2 linked regions of the Alligator mississippiensis genome follow. The protein of the gene in region 2 purifies or fractionates together with the protein of the main gene of each other region. This does not show direct contact. Links are inferred from orthologs where the notes say so. Each region holds a gene or a part of one and is shown on either strand. Other genes may lie near its edges.

Evidence for each region. Proteins that work in one complex are often made in the same cells at the same time.
Region 1: the proteins of RAD23B (region 2) and PSMC6 fractionate together in Homo sapiens (co-fractionation; 4 studies listed by BioGRID and IntAct, with this or other methods). This does not show direct contact. The link is inferred for Alligator mississippiensis from reciprocal best matches to the Homo sapiens genes RAD23B and PSMC6.

The regions. Positions count from the first base shown.
Region 1 is NC_081825.1:300,636,335-300,646,205, forward strand, and holds the start of PSMC6 (26S proteasome regulatory subunit 10B), read right to left. Parts: upstream 4,356-9,871; 5' UTR 4,354-4,355; coding exon 4,227-4,353; intron 3,502-4,226; coding exon 3,422-3,501; intron 2,683-3,421; coding exon 2,643-2,682; intron 2,029-2,642; coding exon 1,976-2,028; intron 1-1,975. Other genes in the region: ERO1A (ERO1-like protein alpha), read left to right, coding at 7,810-7,920. UniProt on the Homo sapiens protein: Component of the 26S proteasome, a multiprotein complex involved in the ATP-dependent degradation of ubiquitinated proteins.
Region 2 is NC_081826.1:159,379,318-159,388,903, forward strand, and holds the start of RAD23B (UV excision repair protein RAD23 homolog B), read left to right. Parts: upstream 1-5,741; 5' UTR 5,742-5,955; coding exon 5,956-6,021; intron 6,022-9,586. UniProt on the Homo sapiens protein: Multiubiquitin chain receptor involved in modulation of proteasomal degradation. Binds to polyubiquitin chains.

The sequences.
Region 1 (9,871 bases), on a different chromosome or scaffold from region 2:
CACACCCACTCCTACCCCTTCCCCCCGCCTGCCACAGCCATTTCCCCACTGCCCCCCACCCCCACTGCACTCTAGCACCACATAGTTCCCAGTTGCAGCGCGAGGACCGCAGGAGCAGCTGCGACATGGTGCAGGGTGGGGGGAATGGGGAAGCTTCAGAAGGGTAGCAGTGATAGACAGGGGGCAAGTGGCAGTGAGCAGGAGCATGGGGCCCACACCAGTGCCCTGGGGCTAGGAATGGCAGGAGCACAGAGCCCAGGTTTGCAGGAGCGCTAGCGGGCGCTCTGCCTGCCATTTGAGGGGAGGAAATAGGATGTGGGCAAACCCTCCTCCTCCATGCAAGCCACAACCCTCCCCAGCCACCTTCCCCCCACACACTCACATGCCCCAAGCCCCATACCCACCCACACCCAACACCCCCCACACAAATTTAACATACACACACACACACACACCTTCCCTCCTCTACACCCCACATACCCACAAACCTATACCCCACCTCCCACCCACACCCTCCCACAATATACAAGAGTAGGACTTCATTTTAAGCTGTTATATTGTCACCTCTATGTACACTACACAAACACATGTAAATCAGGACAAAAATATTTTTTGAAATGAAATTAATGAATGTTGTAGTACATGTTTAATTTTTAGAATATAATGTGGTATTTTTCTGGTTCAGAGATGGCAAAAAACCCTTGCTGAAAGGAGTAATTCTGGGGGGCAAGGGGAGCAAAAGTCAGGGGTTAGGGGGTGGGACTTCTGGTTCCAAGGTGGCAACCAGGGGGTGGGGCACCTGTCAAAAGGCAGGGCGACCCACGCGGGCCTCGATGGCTTGCCAAAACTTGGTAAGTGGCCCTCTGCCTGAAATAATTGCCCGCCCCTGGGTTAGGAGCAGTCAGCCCACTGGTAGGCAAATTGGCCGGTCACTGTTCAGATGAGGGTCACAGGACAGGCCCAAAAGGCTGAGCACCGGCCAGTCAAGGAGCGTGAGTAGGCAAGTCTGATGGCCTATTTGGTCACTCAAGGGAGCAGGGCAGGTTGCAAGTGGCTCAGTGATGGGCAGAGTTGAAGAGGCACCAGTGACAGGGAGGCGGTATGAATGTGGTCCTGAAAGGGGCGGTGTATAAGAGGACCAACAGTGGACCGAGTTTTGCCCGGCCTTAGACCGGACGTTTAATTATAATCTGGATGCCATCTGCGAGGAATCAGCCACAGCGTAGGGGTGGTATGGAGCTGTGGATAGTGCTCCTTGGTATCAGGGCATTAAAATGGGCAGCCTTCTGCTTATTACATTAGGTCCATTTTACAGCAAGTCATGGCAGGCGAAACAGGGCAGACTGCCCTAGACAAAGGGGCAGATCAGTATGGTGACATGATGGCCCCCCGTCACAGGCTCACAGTATAAAACTTGAAATGAGCAACAGTCAACCCTTAACTGAAAGCACCCAGATCACATAACTAAAGCTTATAACTTTCTTCCAGAAACTATGTAATTATCACAACATATACACAATGGGGTGATTTTGAGAATACAGTATTAAAAGAAAAACTGAACCAGGCAGGAGGTTCAGTGCAACTAGAAAAGGACAGCATGATGGAAACCAAAGTTGCACACACTTCTATGGTTAGATGTGGAGGCATAACCTTTCCAACCACCTGAGATGGGCAGAAACCATCTGATGAGATATGGGGGAGGGAGGTGTTAAATCGATGGGATGGATCAAACATCTCAAAATCCCCAGAAACTTCTTGGACTGTATCCTTTTTGCTTTCTTATTCAAGTCCAATATTCTTGATCTTTCACAGGCCATCACTAGGGTACAGAGAAAACTGCACACTGGGGCCAAGCACAAGTGAACAAAGAAAGCACAGAACTGTACAAATTTATAAAACACTGCTGAGACAAAGCAACTAGAGCATTTAACATGAAAGCAAGCTATTTAACAGTATCCATGTAAAGCAGGCTTACCTGACGACGACAGCCAACCACATATCGTGGCCCATTTGTAGCCTTCACAATAACTAGAAGAAAAAAAAAAAAGAACATATAAAACAAGTTTACACACTGTCCTTCACCCGTCTCCCTGCTACTGAGCAATACCAAGTACCACACAACGGGCATGTCTACATGTGCATATTAATGCAAAGAAACTATGGAGAAATAACTCAGCTTAATGCTCCGGGTGCACTGTTTAACGTTCGCACCTGGGACTGCAGCACGTCGAGCTGTGTCAGAGCAGCCCCAGCTGGCAGGGGGCCCAAAGGGGTCAGCTTGCCAGTCGGGGGCTGCTTCCCCTGGCTCAAAGTGCTGTGGAGGGGCTGGCTGGGGCATAACGGTGCTTCGGTGTGAGGCTAGCCAGCAGGTAGCCCCTGTAATAAAGCACCCTCATGCCTCAGCTAACCGGGGCAGTATCTACATGTTCACTGCTGTGAACTAGTTTAATAGGGGCACACATGTAGATGCATGACATTTACTGGGCAGCTAATTAGTTTACTGCAAAGTAAATGTCCTGTGTACACATGCCCAATATTTTCACAGTGCTGTGCAAATCCAGTGATTTAAAAGACAGTGTGACCACGCTGGCCTTTTGGTTTACTTTAGGAAGACAACATTTCAAGCAAGTGCCTGTACTTACACTTCTCTTCTGTTAGCTGCTTTAGAACCTCCCCCACAATCTAAACAAGAGAAACAGGGAAAAATACCATTAGATATATCATGTAGAATAGATACGTTGCATAGGGCACACTAAATTATCCTCAAAACAATTAACAGCCACTCCACAAGCACTACCTGTTTCCCTAGGCTCTGCTTCAGCTGTGATTTATTTTACACTCCCTTGTATAGCAGTCAGCATAGGGTGATGCTGTAGCTGCTATAGCCGGGAAATTAGGCGAGGGGCAAAGACTTCTGAGGGTGGTGTCTTTTACTGGACCAACCATGTCACTGGGATAAAGTTAGACTGGCAGCTGAGCACAAGACGCTCTCCCTCAGCTTTCAGAGGGTGTTGATACACATGCTTCAGGAGTTGAGGGGGTGCTTGAATTAGAGCAGCTCCAAAAGACGCTCTACTTAACGCGCGTGGAGTGGCTAGCATATCAGCATCCCTGTGCTTAAAACTGGCAGTGGGGGCATTTGAAGTAATGCTTGTCCACCGAGTTTTAGTTAAAGCACCCCTGCCACCATTTGTAAGCATGGGGATGCTGATACACGAGACACTGGAGTCTGCTGGAGCGCGGTAGTTGCCACAGACTCGATCACAGCACGTTGCAGCAGCCTCGTCTATAGGCACCCAGAGCTCTCCAGGGCCCGAGGCAGCATCCCTGACCTCCAAAACTTGTCTGACGTCACCCCCAGCACAGGCAGCCCAAGAAAAGACCCGTCCAAGAAAGCCCTGGGGCAGCCCGTCCGCCGCACCTGCCCGACGCTCTGCAGGGCCTTGAGGTCGTTCTCCGACTTCTCGTACTGCTTGGTGAGCTCCTTCAGCTGCTCGCGCACTGCGGGGGCAACACGGGGGTCCGTCAAGCTCCACATCCAGGCAGGGGCAAGGTCACTGCTCCCCTCCCCCTCCTGAGGGGAAGGGGCCCCCCTCAGCCTCACCCCCAGTGACATCATGGGGAGGAGCCAGGTACCACCTCTTCCTAAGGGGAAGACCCCCCCCTTCTGCCCCACCCCCAGTGAGGTCATGGGGAGGGGCCAGCCACCCCCCCTCCTCTCCTGAGGGGAAGAGACCCCCCCCTCAGCCCCACCCCCAGTGAGGTCATGGGGAGGGGCCAGGCAGCCCCCCTGCCTGAGGGGAAGAGACCCCCCCCTCAGCCCCACCCCCAGTGAGGTCATGGGGAGGGGCCAGGCAGCCCCCCTGCCTGAGGGGAAGAGACCCCCCCTCAGTCCCGCCCCCAGTGACATCATGGGGAGGGGTCAGGCACCCCCCCACCCCCCTCTTGAGGGGAAGACCCCTCAGCCCCACCCCCAGTGATGTCATGGGGAGGGGCCAGGCAGCCCCCCTACCTGAGGGGGAGAGACCCCTCTCAGCCCCGCCCCCAGTGACATCACGAGGAGGGGTCAGGTGTCGTCGTCCCCCCCCCGCCGCCGCAGGCCCCGCCCCCCGGCCCTCGGGCCCGTGACTAAGCGCCTCGCCCGGCCCACCCGGCCCGGCCCGGCTCGGCTCCAGGCCCGGCTCCCCTCAGCCCCGGCCCGGCCGACCCGCAGCGGCAGCGCTCACACTCCTTGAGGCGGCCGTCGATCTCCTTGTGCTCCAGCAGCTTCTTGCGGTAGTCCTGCAGCGCCTTGTCTCTCGGGTCCGCCATGATGAGCAGCCGCCGCTCATAGGGAATGCCGGGAAGGGCCATGGCCGCCGGGGGCGGGGCGGGCCGGGCCGGGCCGCCGGGGGGCGGGGCCGCCCGCGCGCACGCGCGCTGCTGCCGCCCGCCCGCCCGCGCCCCCTGGCGGGGAGGCGGCGGCGGCGCGCCGTGCACCGCCACCTGCTACCTCCTGGCTCCTCCGCGGCTCCAGCGCAGCCTCCCGCTGAGGCTGTGCGTGCAAACAGCTCTGTAGTGTGCACACGGAGGTGGTTTGCACTGCCACGGAGGCTGCTCTTCATCTGTCTCCTCCTTTCCCAGCCCTGCGGAAGAGCCCTTGATGCCCCAAGGCTTGCCCAGCACCTCTCCCGAGCGCACGGCTGCGCCAATAAAAGGCATCACAAACAATCCTGGTCCTGCTGCATTCCCGGTGGCTCGCAGCTAGGCTGCTGCACCCCGTTTACGTAAGGAAGTAGCATCCTCGCTGCTTCCCCCGCGAGAGCGTGCGGCGGTGGCTCCAGCGGGGTGCTGCGGCCGCCCGGGGTGCTTCGAGGTCCGTGCCGGGAGGTGCGCGAACATGATTCACGAGACAAACCCGGACATTGCAAACAGCAATCCACGCTGTTAAAAACCATCCGGACCTGGTGGGGCCTTGCTGAGCTCTTTGCAACAGCAAAATTGCTCTATTATTTTTCTGGAGTCAAAACACAAGTGGAAAGGAAGAGCTGGCATTTTGTGGGAGCTGCCTGGGGTCTTGTTTCCCACTGCCTTCTTGCTCTCCCGCCAGGCCAGAAAGTGCCTGCTGCCTGGGTGCAGCACGGCTCCGAGGATGCCACGCTCCCTGGACTTCCTGTGTCACACGCGAGAGGGAAGGACTCACTGGGTGACAGCCACCTTCCTCCTTCCTGGTAGTCCAGCCCCAAGGATTCCCCGTGGTCACAGCTGCTCCACGATCCACTGAAATTGAGGAGGGGGCTCTAGGGAAGGGGTCATGCAGCCAGCGGTATCCCCCACTGGGTTCGGGGACAGGTTAACCCCGTTGTGCCATGCTGATTCGCAACCCTGTGAGAGGTGGGATAGGCAGTGCAAAACAGGGGACTGACTTCCACCCCTTCCCTCTTGGGATGAGAGATGGACACGGGGGGCAGCGGATCACAGGTGTGGACGCGGCCTTGAGGGTCATCTGGTCCGACCCTTGCATGAATGCAGGGATGCTATTTCTAAACTACCCCTTTGAAGTGCTCATCTAGCCTCCTCTTGAAAGCCTCCAGGAAGGAGTCCATGACTTCCCCGGGCAGCCTGTTCCACTGCCTCGCTGCTCGGACAGCAGGAAGTTTTTTCTGAGATCTCGTCTGAATCCGCTTTGCTGCAGTTTCAAACCATCCCTTGGTGTCCTGTCTGCAGCAGGAGAACAGCTGTTCTCCCTCCTCCTTATGGCAGCTTTTCAGATGTTTGCAGACTGCTATCATGCCCTTTCTCAGCCACCTTTTCTCTGAGCAAAACATACTTTGCTGTCCTGAACAGCTTGCCCTCCATCCTCCTGACCAGGGCTGGGTAATTATTTTGGTGAGCTGCTGCAAGGTCGGGGCGTGCTGACCTGGCCCAGCTTGGCGGGATGGGGGGTGCTGACCTGGCTTGGCACGGGGTAGGCAATTGATTGTATCTGGCCCAGACCTGTCCCTACACCCACCACCACGAGCGCAGGACGGAGCAGGCAGGGTCTCCACAGACACTGGGACCCCTGCAAGCAGGCTGTGCTTGGCTGGGTAGATGGGATGGGACCACAGGCCAGATAAAATCCCTTAGCACATTGAATCCGGCCTGCCCTGTGGGCCATATTCTGTCCACCCTGCTCTGGACCCTCTCCAGGCTCTCCACGTCCTTCTTAAAACGTGGACAGTACACCGTGCCCTAGCTGAGGCCTAACCTGCCCCGAGTAGAGTGGTACTATCACCTCGCACAGCCGTGCGGCACCTCTTACTCCTGCTGGTGTAGCCCGCAATTGTATTTGCTGTGTGTGTGACCGCATCACGGGTGCTGCACCGCGCCGGCTGCCAGCAAGGGGAGGAAGCACTTTTGAAAACTGACCCGGTTGTGTTCACCTGGATGCGGTTTACCTACGATCAGGCCCCCCGGTTTGGAAATCCTGCTGTCTCAGCTTCCTGGTGCACGCATCACGGTGTATTTATACTTCCCTTCCTTGATGGTGCATTAGGTGCGTTTTGATGTAGGTGCCCATCGAAGCACACAAAGGCAGGTAAATATTATGACGAGGACGTTAGTCACGTCATTCTGTAGAAACTGTCATTTGAACAGGGAAGTGTCAATCGCGGGTAAGCCGTAAGGAAGCTATTATTTCTAGGGAGCCGTCAGGACAAATCAGGCTGCATCACCGCTCAGTCACATCGGGTGAATGGTGCTCCGAGAATTACTCATTTTGTGCAATGTTGCTTTTCGCAGGTGCTCTTCAGAGCTGGCTTGTGCTGGCTCAGCAATGATGTGTTCAGGGACCTGCCTTTCTGAGAAAGACTTCCTCGCTTTTCAAGCAATGGGGCAATGAAATAGATTCCCCGAGGAAGTTGTGGACTCCTTCCTGGAGGCTTTCAAGATGAGGCTAGATGAGTGCTTCAAAGGGGTAGTTTAAAAATAGCATCTCTGCATTCATGCAAGGGTTGGACCAGATGACCCTCAAGACCGTGTCCACACCTATGATCCACTTCTCCACGCATCCATCTCCCATCCCAAGAGCAAAGGGGTGTTAGTCAGCCCCCTGTTTTGCTCTCCCTGCCTATCCCACGTCTCGTGGACCGTCTAGGTCTTGCCTCTCTGCTCAGGGTCAGACCAGCGCCACGTGGGGTCAGGGAGGGATTCCCCCCCTGCTCAGACTGGCATGGACTGGGGGGTTGCCTTCCTGTGTAGGGGGGGCACGGCCCCTACATCACGTATATGACAGCATCCCCTAGAAGCAGCACCTCGGCTGCCCGGTTCCCCAGCTTCACCCGCAACACCTTCGGGGGTCACGTCTGTGCGTGACCACCCCCTTACATAGAGCTTAGCTCAACCTCTTTCATTTGCGGCCCCCTAAAACATGTCCAAAGGAAGCGCGGGCCCCTTTGAAGAGTACGCCCAGGCTTGCCATCTCGGGCAGGTGGGAAACCACCGGCTCACACCATGGGTTGGCCGGTCCTGCCTGGGGATGTGACTTGCCAACGCCTCTCCTTGCTCCGGCATCTTTCCCGGAGCCAGGAAGCGAGGGGCCCGCGCTCTCGGGAAGGGTGCAGCGCCGCGGGCGGTGCTTGCCTGGGCGGGTGCCGGCCGGGCACGCGTGTGCGGGGCGGGCGGGGGTCAGCGGGGGCGGGCGTGTCCCGCGTGGGTGGGGGGAGCCGAGCCGAGCCGAGCCGGGCGGCACGTCCGCGGCGGGCGGGGGGGCGATCCCGGCCGCGCCCCGGGGCGGAGCCGCGCGCGGCTCTAGAGCGGCCGGGCGCCGGCGGCGCCGCACACCGAGCCATGCGCCGCGCACGGGCGATGCCGCTGCTGCTGCCGCTGCTGCCGCTGCTGGTCGGGGCGGCGCTGGGGCTGCAGCCGCCGGGCTCCGCGGAGCAGCGCTGCTTCTGCCGGGTGAGCGCTCCCGGCCCGGCCGGGCCCCGGGGAGAGGAGAGGAGGGCAGGGCAGGGGGGTGCGACCCGGCAGAGCCAGCTGGGACCGCTGAGGTCCGGCCGGACGAAACACACGCGGAGGTGGGATTTCTGGAGCCAGCCCCGCGTCCTGCGCTCTGCAGCCGCCGTTTCTGGTTTTAGACATGCCTTTTCGGGTTTTAATTCCCCTGCCTTGCTGCTCAGCAGAGAGCCGCAGGGGGAGGAAAGAGCCAGGGGAAGTGAGAGGTGCAGCCCGGCACGTAGGAGGAGGCACTTTCCCACGAGCAGAGCAAACGCTGGCCTCTCCTCCCGCTTCCTCGCCGCGCTTCTCTGACCCGGCTGCCATAGCTGGGCGACTAGTTCAGCCGGACGCGGATCCTTTGTTTCATCGACTGCCTTCTTGCGACGCGGCCTGCAAGGCTCCTGGTAGAGGGGATCTCTTTCAAGACCCGCCCGGCTGGGGCTCGTGGTGGAGGGGATCTCTTTCAAGACTCACCCGGCTGGCATCTGAGTTGGATCTTGCATGTGGCGCATGTGATCTGGAGGGGTGTTTGTTGGTCCCGTGTACAGTCCGGTGCCTGTTCGTCCCCAAGGAAGTTGACATATATATATATATGTGATCCTTGGTTAGGTACCCGGGTTGTAGCCGTAATGGCCTAGGGGAAAAGGCAATCGGGGCTCGTGGTAGAGGCGATCTCTTTGGTCAGACCAACAAGATTTTTGCGGGGAAAAAAAAGGCTTTAATTACAGATAAATAATTTTTTTTGCAAAACTCTTGTTGGTCTGACCAAAGAGATCACCTCCACCACGAGCCTTGATCCTCAGTTAGGCATGTCATGATCGATTCAGGTTTCTGCTGGCATTTTCTCTCTCCCACATGGTGCGTTGCTAGAGTTACACTGCTTTATGCTCACCGAGGACTCGGCCTGCTGTGCTTAAGTGATGGTTGACCAGCCTCAGTAGTCATGGAAGTATGGCTTACGAGCCTGGTGGGAACCGGTTCTTGCAAGCGGATCCGCACGAACAGGTGCTGCAGGCAACCCCGGGCCCGCAGAGGGTTCCTGTGGGCTTGTTTGCAGAACCGGGGCATCAAACTGCAGCAGGATACTTTCATTGCCTGACCTGTGTTTACATCCTGTAACTGCCATGTGGTAAGAGCAGGATTTGCATTTACTTCCCTTTTTTATGGACAGAAAATAAAGGAAGGATGGAAATGGGCAATTGCACAATACCACTTTCTATCTGGTCTGTCAAGCCAGGCCTCTTGTGGTCTGCTATCTGGTACCATGTAGACCGGTACAACCTGTTCCATGGTCGGTTGTCGGTGACTAAACCGGTGCCCCCCCCGGGCTAACCTGGGTGAGGAGGGTGTGTGGACACACAGCAGGACTAAAAACAAGACCTGTCAAAGGGCAGATGAGCTCCCCGTGAGCCAATGGCCATGGATACCTGGAGAGGAGATGGGCGCCACTTTGCTCGAAGAATCACCAGTGATGCAAAGCATCTAAGGTGTCACAGTGGCCTCCGGACTGACTTGCCTCGACTTTCCATCTGGGGACCTAGGTACACTTCGACAGTCAGATGTCCGAGATAAGCCTGTCTGCTGAAAAACACAATGTGCTTTCTGAGCCTTAATCTTTAAGATGTTTTGCCTATCTGACCGCATAGAGGGCGGCTTTGTCCTATTTTTTTGTTAGCACAAAAAATATATATGTAACCATAATGCAAATGAGAAGCAGGGTGGTAGGAACAGATCAGTGAAGTAGCGCTTTGTCCTGCTGAGTTCTTATTTGCCTCTGAGTAGGAAGAACTGGCATTGTACTAGGGATGTAAATATTGTTGAAAAAATAAGCCACGACAGCTCTTCTAATTATATCGGTTAGCTGTTTAACTGATAACACATACCTATCTGTTGGGATGAGGGTCGCACCGCT
Region 2 (9,586 bases):
AACATGACACGCCTGACCCGGCCGGGTTGATCAGCATGGACAGGCTGACACCCTCATATGCCAAGAATCAGTTCATCAGAGCAACAATAACCTGCAGTCAGACACAAGCACACAAGTGAACAGAATCCCTCTGAATCCAGCTGGGTGTCCAGCTGACACCCTCATGGGCCAGCATTCAGTTCATAAGGGCACGTCTGAGTCAAACTGGGTCAATCAGCCTGTACAAGCTGATCCCCTTATATGTTTCAACTCAGCACGTCCCAATCTTTGGCTTCTTGATGAGCAGACCCCATAGTATTTTTGGGCTTCACAGGGATCTTTAGCTTAGGTAAAAGAAGCGTTGCTGCAGAGCACGGGAGGAAAGAGAAGCAGAGAAGGAAAAATGTACCCAGTTACTACCAGTTTGACTAAAAGTTATGTATTGCTAAGCATATGAAATATATAATGGTACTAACAGTAATAGACATGCAAAGGAAAAACACAAGCAATTACAATATTACCCTGGTTTCACTAAGTATTTGGGGAAACTTAGCTCAAGCTTAACTAATACAGTTCAGGTTCAGAAATGTATGCCTAGAGTGAAAAGAGAGAGTGCTAGGATCTCACCAGTCCAAGGTACTCGGGCTGCAAAGCTGACAGGCACAGTCCTTGAAGGGAGATGATCTGTTCTTCCAGCATCCCAAGAACAACAGGGGATGGTGTCAGTACAGGAGTTTTTCTTCTTTCTTCCTTTCTTCCTTTCCCTCTGAAGCACCCACACTTTTACAGATGTTTATACCCTCAGTTCAGCTGCTTCGAAGCATCCTCAATTGTGTAAATCATTGTCTTTTCTATTGACAAGGGGTTATCTGGTTTGGACCATCTCAAGAAACTGATTGATAATCAGGAAACACATAACGTTAGGGAGTTACCAGATACTTGGGAGCCAGCTTGAAATTCCTATGGATAGCAGATATACTGATGGGATATCTCATGGTTTCTTCAGAAACAATAGATAGCTGCAGCATCAGGATTTTGGATTTTTACTTGTTGTGCACAAGCCTCAGCTTAGCATGACTTTTTCAGATCTTACTATAGTCTTTTAACAGACTTAAGATAATTATTGGGGTGCTCATAACCTTTTGTGGAGAGGACTCCCACCAGTCGTCTCGGGAAAAGTATGGCAACACCTGTGATTAGGGCTCCAACGGGTTGGACGCTGTGATGAACCTTTTACCATTGTTCAAATGCTGCCCATACCCCCTCTGACTCGGTCTCTTGCCTCAGCATTCCCTAACCCGGCAACCGAGTTTTAGTCTATCAAGTTTAAATAGGCCTCCCATAGTGGGACCGGGGAATGTATGGCCCGAGATGCCTATTAAACTTAGAGGTGTGTATGTGTCGGGGGGGGGGGGGGGAGTCCTTAGTAAATCCAGATTAGAACTGGTCTGATAAATGCTGAGCTGGGTGTGTGTGAACATGGGTTGATTAACATTTGAAGCACAGATTCCCCATCATGCAGTGCTCCCCTGCTTCTCTGGTCCCAGAATTCACTGCAGTCTCTGCTTCAGGCTTTCTGTTCTCCATCTCTCATGTAAATGAATGGTCATGTGGTTCCATCTCAGATGCAAATGAGACCTAGGGCAGTTGTTTCACTCTTGTCACCGTTATCTGGAGGGTCTTAGGTGTGTCTCTCACTGCATCTTAATCAGTTTCATTTATGTAGAGGAGCAGAGGGAGGAGGGGGTGAGTCAGACAGACTGCATCCTGTGCCAGGGTTCCCAAGAACACACAGCTGAGATGGAACAACGGCCAGTGGCAGAGATGGGTCTGCCTTCTTCCGAGTCACACTACAGTAATGCAACATCCATCAGGCCATAGACTTTCCTTTTTGAGTCAAGAATGTGCCTGGATTCTTTTTTCTAAGTACTGGTCAAATGAAAATGTTGAAAGGGGTTGCAACTTCAAAAAGGTATTAAAAACCATATCAAATGTGTTTATATATATACATATATATATACAAATGTGTATAATTAATACATTCATCAATTATAAAGCCAGAAGGGGTCACAATGATTTATCTCATCAGACCTCCAGCATAACAGACTTTCCAAATTAATCCTTGTTTGAACTATGGCACAAATTTTAGAAAGACTCTTGCTTTTAAAAATATGTCATGTGGGTAAAAATGTAGCTGTATTGTTACCAAAAACAAAGTACCATTCGGTCTCCAGAGAGACAAGACTACAGCCTAAGATGAGAATTCTTTTGCAAGTTTAGACACAAGTTAAGGGTCAGTTACACGTTCCTTAATGATTACTTTTTTTGAACATCAAATAAGATACAATCACATTTCCCAATGATCCTCCATTCCCTCTTAGCAGATAAGATATTACTACCACCCAAGTCAGATAAAAAGGCAAGAGACAGGTCTAGAGCCCAACACCAAAGCACAATAATAAGCATTTGTCTCTAGCTAGGGCTGGGTATTCAGAATTGCCAACTCTCATGATTTTTGGCATTGTTTTTAAAGTCTCTGCTTCAGGAATGTGAAAACCTTAGTTCTTTCTTTTATCTATATTTAGATTACATCTATATTTATATATAGATTATATACATATATATAATCTATATTTATATATAGAAATAAAAGAAAGAGCTAAGTTTTTCACATTCCTGAAGTGTAGATTTTAAGAACAATGCCAAAAATCATGAGAGTTGGCAACACAGGGTATTTGACCAGGCAAATAAAGTTCAGTCAGTTGACGGGTCAAATGTCAGTCAAAAACTGTAAAAATTTGCCAATAGGTCTAATAATATACAGAAAAAGCACAACATTTTCCATTAAGGAATGTGTCAAAAAGCAATAAAAAATCATATGTCTGTCAAAAAAACTACAATAAATGTAGCTTAAAAAAATATAAAATTGCTATAATTTTTGACCAGTCAAAAAATATGCAGTTAATGGACCAGTCAGTTGATAATACTGGACTGGTCAATTGACTGGCTTGCCAACCCTATCTCAAGTTACCTGCAAGAGCACAACACAGTTTCTCAGCTATACCAACTGGGGGGGAGAGGGGGAGATGCAGAAGGCAGGAGGAAGGTAGCATGCAGGCTAGCATCAGGCATCTTGAATTTGTTGAGGCCTTTCCCAAATACCCAATATTTATATGTGGCTTATTTTAATATTCTGATTGGTGTTATTCAAATTTCTTTGTTTCACTGAGATTTTAGGAACTGGACTATCCCAGCTTTTCTGTGGAAGCCAGTTAGCTGAGGTCTATGTTCTTGTGAAAAATACAACTCTGGGAGAGCGAGAGGACCTCTTATCTCTCTCTCTCCCTCACCCTCTGGGAATGCAATTTGCCATGTTCTGTTTCTTTAACTTTGCTGACTAAGCCAGTTGTAATACATTTACAAAAGTTCATTCTGAAACAGGCTTTGTGGCCTGCTTTAACCACCCTGCTGCTACTTAGCATAAGTCCCTTGAAAGGGGCCAAGGCTGACAACAAGTTAAACAAGACCCATTATTCCTCCAATAAAATTCTAGATGACTACATACAACTTAATTCTTAAAACATCAGTCGTTACCTTTTAGCTTCTATAAAACACTGTCCACAAAGCAGTTATTCATTCTTGGCCTAATCTAATACTAGTGGCCTTGATAAACAGATTCTTATTCTGTTTACCCAGGCTATTGCTTATGACTTAAATGCAAGCTTGTTGATTATTGGTTGTATATCATTTTAAGCACATCATATTCATAACTCAGGCTTCTGCTAGGTCTGTAGTCGGCACTGGTCAGCGTGGTCCATCAGTAATTGACTGTGTCTACAGTTTACAGTATGTATTTCTTGTAGAAATATAGCAATGCCAATGGGATTTTCTGTAAGTAACATTAAGACCTCCTTCTTGTTGTGTCCACTACCATCCAACTTAATTCAGTAATTGGGCACCAATGTTTAAACTAAAAATAAGATGGGACAGTAGGACATGAATGTTCTCTCCCAGGTGCCCACACATTTCAAAAGGGTAGTTTGTATCCAGTACTATTATGGGAAAAGGAGATCACTCACTGAGATGTCTGAATGCTACTGTCTTCTTTCAGCAAAGTATGTGTTTTACTGAGACTTTCAGTAACTGGAGTCCTCAACCGTTGCAAACCTTCTGGCTTGAAAGACTCTCTCTCCTCATCACTTACTGCAGTGGCCAGCAAAAGCGCTTGAGGAGAAACCTTTTATATAAAAAAGATGGTGCTGCTCACAGGATGTTCTTTATGAGGGCTTTTCCCCATGATCTAAATACTCTGAACGCAATGACTTGGGGACAGTGCAAAAGCCATTTATTTTATAAGGTCTAATGAGAAATGCATGACCTTGAGGAGGGTTGTAAGGGGTTGTTTCCTCTGCACTGGTATATTTTCTGGTGGAGTTATTTCATTATTTGCACACAATACACTATTGGAAAATTACCATTTAGGACTCAAACCCTACAGGATTGTTAGCAGTTCCTGGACATGTTGGTATAGGCGGGTTTTTTAAAAAAATTATTTAAATCTGCATGAATAATTCTTAAATTTTACTCATCCTTTGAAACATCACATGTTTGAGCTCTGCCAGTGGCCTGGAGTATTAGGACGAGTCATTTATGAACAGAACACACATTTGCCCCCGGGGGGGGGGGGGAAATCCTAGACTGGGTTCCACCATTTTTAAACCAGTCTGTGCTGAAATTCTGCTCTGTTACGAGTATAGACCAGTTTTGTGTGCTGAATGTCTGTTTTATTACAGGTATAGACTGGTTTCCAATCACTTATACCAGTACAAGTGTAATGTCTGACCCTGGCCTTAAAGACTGGCTTCCTCTTCTCCCAGGGGAACGAGGTGCCACTTTCAGTTAAAAAAAGACCTACCCTCTCTCCCTACTCCTGCTACCCAAGGCATAGGGGGTGCTCAGCTAGGGTGCTGTGACATCCCTTTGAAGAGCGCTATACAATATTAGTGTGGCGAGGCGTGCAAACCCTTGCGCATGATTTCAGATAGGAATTCACACTGTCAAAACCCCATTGCTGCCCTCTGGCTGCCTTCCTGAGTTCTTCTGGGACGAGACTTGCTCTCATCTTGTTGGTCTAGTAGCCTCCGCTCCTCCAAAATATCCCACCCAGGCATAGGCAGCTAAGGTCTGGGTGGCCCTCATGCATACACTGTGCTCCAGGAGGGTCGCCGGTTGCTGCATGGTGGTCTAATAAAAGATATCGTCTCTACTGCAAGTCCTGACTGCCTTGTCCTCTAGACCAATGCGGCTGCAACCTGGATACCCGACATCTCTCGCTTCCCCGCAGTTGAGGAAGAGCGAGAGGCGGCACGAGGCCGCCTGCACTGCAGTCCAAATGAGACCAAGAGCCGCTGGTCTGAAGCCAGGAACAGACGTGAGATGCAGCCTGTCCCGGAGCAGAACAGTCCAGGGCCTGGCATGCCCGCCCAGACCGGGTCTGAACATGTCCTTATCCCAGCATAACCACTCACGCTGGGCCTAGCCCGTGCGTTTGTCTCAAGTTCACCCCGCGCTGAGGCTTTTATTTATTTTTAAGGGGAACTTGACGGGATGGAGGAGGGAGAATCCTGCGGCCCCGCCCCTCGGGCCCCGCTCCGCGCCTGCGCACCAGCCACTTCCCCCCCCCCGCGCATGCGCCGCGCGCTTCCCCTCCCCCGCCCTGGCTGGCGCGGGGGGCTGCGGACGCGAGTCACGATGGCGGCGGCCAGGCCGTGAGCGGCGGCGGCACCCACCCCTCCCCCACGCGGCCCGCCACCCCCGGCTCCCGCGCGCGCGCGCGCGCTGCCTCCCCCCGCCCTCCGCGCCTGCGCACCTGCCCCCCTCCCGGCGCAGCGCAGCGCAGCGCAGCGCAGCGCGGACAGCCCGCGCCAGCAGCCGGCGGGTGGGCGGGGGCGGCCTCGCTGGGCCCGCGGCGCCGCCATGCAGATCACGCTGAAGACGCTGCAGCAGCAGACCTTCAAGATCGATATCGACCCCGAAGAGACGGTGCGGGCCGGGGCCGGGGCCGGGGCCTGCCTGGGCGGGCGGGCGGGCGGGGGGTCGCAAGGGCCTTGGCGGCCGGGGAGGAGCGGAGCGGGCTGCGCGGTGCGGCGCGGCTCCGGGCAGGCCGCAGGCCTCCATGGCTCCTTAGTGCGGGCCCCCGCACCGAGGGCTGAGGCGGCCCGGCCTGCGCTCCTGGGCATGTGAGACTGCAAAACGGCCTGGCTGCCAGCGGGGCGGGGGGATGGGCCCCAGAGGCCTGCCTCCAGCCTCTCCATTGAATCCTGGGACTGGACGTGAGCGAAGACCTGGCCCCAGGGGTGCTGCTGTGGCTCCTCTCAAGCCATGAGCTGGGCTGGATTTAGAGGCGGAACAGGCAGCGATGGTTCCCTGCTCTCCTTAACTCCAGAGCAGCCGTCAGGGTGCTGTGAAATCCCCTCAGAGGGCTGGTCAAAATTCAGGAGAAACTTGTCTGGAAAAGCGGGCCCAGGCAGGGGGGGTTGGTGGTAGGGCTGTACTGCCAGCTCATGCTCCAGAGCCTCATGGTAAAAACCGGAGCCTGTTTAAACCGCCAAATCTTTTCAGGCACCTGGTTAGTCACACTTTTGCTAGTTGAGCGTCCCCTCAGCCTCCTTTTTTAAATATTTCTTGAGACTGAAGTGTGCCACTGCCCCAGATTAAGTTGGAGGCTTGCGCAGAGTCAGGTTGTGTTTGCTCCGGAGAGCCCCTGGAGCATTACACTTCGTGTGCTGTTTTCATGTCCTCCGTGCTAGAGGTAGGCTTATTTACTTGGATCACTGCCCTGTGCTGTGACTGGCCAAAACGGTCTGGTTATGATAGGCCCAGGAAACTTGTTGCTTTTAAACCTGCTGCTGTTTCTAGCATTTTCTGTCTTTTACTTTCCCTGTACAAATCAAACTTAAAACAAGCCTGAGGTTGAGCAACAATGTGAGGCCATCCTGAAACAGCAGCTCTAGGTTCAGCACTAGAAGTATGCAGTTATCAGAAATCATGTTAGTATTTATACATACCACTGAAAATATCATTAACTACTTTTTGTCATTAAACCAGGCATGTCGAACATACAGCCTGTAGGCCAAATTTGACCCATGGGTCTCTCTGCAATGTTAATTGGTGACAGCGGAAGAGAGGACTTATGGCAGCCACAAGATTAATGGTGGCCGCCCCTGATGTTCTTGGGTCGTCTGGCCCATGGGGAGCCTTGTGGTCTGGATTTGGCTCACAAGGCCAAACAACTTTGACATCCCTGTCATAAGCTGTATTGTAACGACTTGAACACTTGGCATTGAACCACTACTTTTTTCCTATTTGACAAAGGAAAAAGCTCAGTGCAATGAGTATATTTTGTAGCTCAGAGCTAGTTTTAAATATTAGTGCTACATTGATTTTAAAAGATGTGACCAGAATTTGCATTTTCTGAATGCTGGACCTAAAACATGAGCTGTTCTATATTTGTCAAAGCACTATTTTTGAAATAACTGAGTGGAGATGGTAGATTGTCCCGCCTGATATAAAACCATTTTTAAGAAAGTTGTGGCTGGCTAAAGACTTCATGGTTTGAAAAGTCCTGTAATGTATGAAATGAGGGAAAATACTACTCAAAGTCCAGGAGATATGTTCAACTTCTGTGGAATGAATTTTGGAGCAAGCATGCAGGGGTCATAGGTGCACCCCTGATATCATATACAGAAAACTGTGTTGCCAGTTGAGCAGGCTTAGTTCTATGACCATTGTCAGTTAAACATTTGTCATGATGATGGACCAAATCACTTGTTCCTGTACTGCTGTGTGGGCACTCTTTGTTTACTAACATCCCTTAATTGAAATTAAATGATTCCCACTACTTGAAGTGGATGCAGTACTATGTAGCTGACACATTCTTGACTGATAGGTGAAAAGCAATTATGACAGTCTGGAGTTATAGACTTGTAAAGCTACTGGTAAAATGAATGCTGTTTAGGATTTAGAGATGCAAATGTATTTAGCATGATCTGGGAGTGTAAACCATTTTAGGTAAAAGTAGCATAGTTGGGTAAAAAAATTCTTCAGCTTCAATACAGTGTTAAATATCACCTTAGACAAAAGTATGTTTATGTTTTAATTACATTTTGCTATGCTGGTATTTGTTCAAACTGGAAAAAATGCCAGGAGCAAGAGGAATGGCAGAGTGAGTGGCAGTTGTCTTTACACAGCTTTTTCGTTAACAGAGCATGCATTTTCATGTGTTAGCATTCTGCCACAGTATTTGAACATTTGTATGGAAAGCTTGCTTCAAGAAAGTGTCAACAGGAAACTCTTGAAGTTAGGGTAGCTTATTTTTCAAGCCAATGACTAAATGCATTCTGTTTAACACAGGACTGTCCAGATTGTAAGCGGTTGTGGTTCACAGACCATACCAATGGGGCTGCATTCTCCAGGGGCCACACTTCTACAAGCCACAGCTCCTGTACTGCATGAACGATTAACCCCCCACACACACACTGCCACACCACTGTGCGCCATGTAGTGTGGCATTTTGTCCCTTGGGACAGGAGCAAAAAAGGAAAAGTTGTGGGAAGGAGGGGTACCTTAGAGACCTCAGCTGCAGTAGCAGCTGGAGCAGTAAGGGGAGCAGCAGCCAGGTAGGAGCTTGAGGTCTGTTTATTAACCTGTTGTGGGACAGCCTTGCTTAAACATGCATAGATATTTTGCTTCATTCCTAACATCCTTGTCATTCTGCAATATATATGTTAGAGAAATTTAAGGTAGGTACTAATTTCAACCCTACTGAATGTACCTTGGAGTGTGTTCTAGCAAAGCAGTAGCCTTGGGCATGGAGGAGATCCAGCAGAGCTGTCATCTGAGATTAAAGTGGGAAAGGTGCACAGAATAGAGTTTTGGGTCTAAAGTTATGTAGTAATCCAGGAAAGATTATCAAGAGTTGTTGGTGGATGCTGGGAAAAAGATACTCAAATAGGAATATACAAAGGATTTCGGTGGATTGGTAAAATGTCTGTCTAGCAATTAATCATAGGGGTAAAAAAACTATTGTCAGTTACAGGGGCACAGAACATGGTTAAAATCCATCAAGGCTCTTCTGGTGAAGTACTCACTAATAGCTTTAGGGAAAGTATCTTAAAATAATTTGTAGCTCTAGTTCTGTTTTGAGTTTTTTTCTAGTCACAATGATAAATCTGTGAATTACATCATGCACTGCACTAAAGTAATCCATTGGGTGATTGAAATGGTAGCTACATATGCAAATTTGATTCCAGAAGACCATGGCTTCCTCAATTCTGCTTAGTTGTGTTATAGACCATCTGATTAAGAGCAGTCAGTGGTCAGTGAGCAGTCAGCTATACAATTTCAAACCATGCTTGCGGGGTTGATTTTGTGCTAGCTGGGAAAAGATGCTTAGAAACAAATGGAGTTGGGTTAGTATCTGACTAGTGATCATGTGAATTTTTCAGGGCTGAACCAAATCTTGCAAGGTGAGCTTTTGGGGTTGAGTTGGGAATACAGCTATAGTTTTAGTAGCATTTGTGTGAAGCCTGAGATTGGTGTATACCAT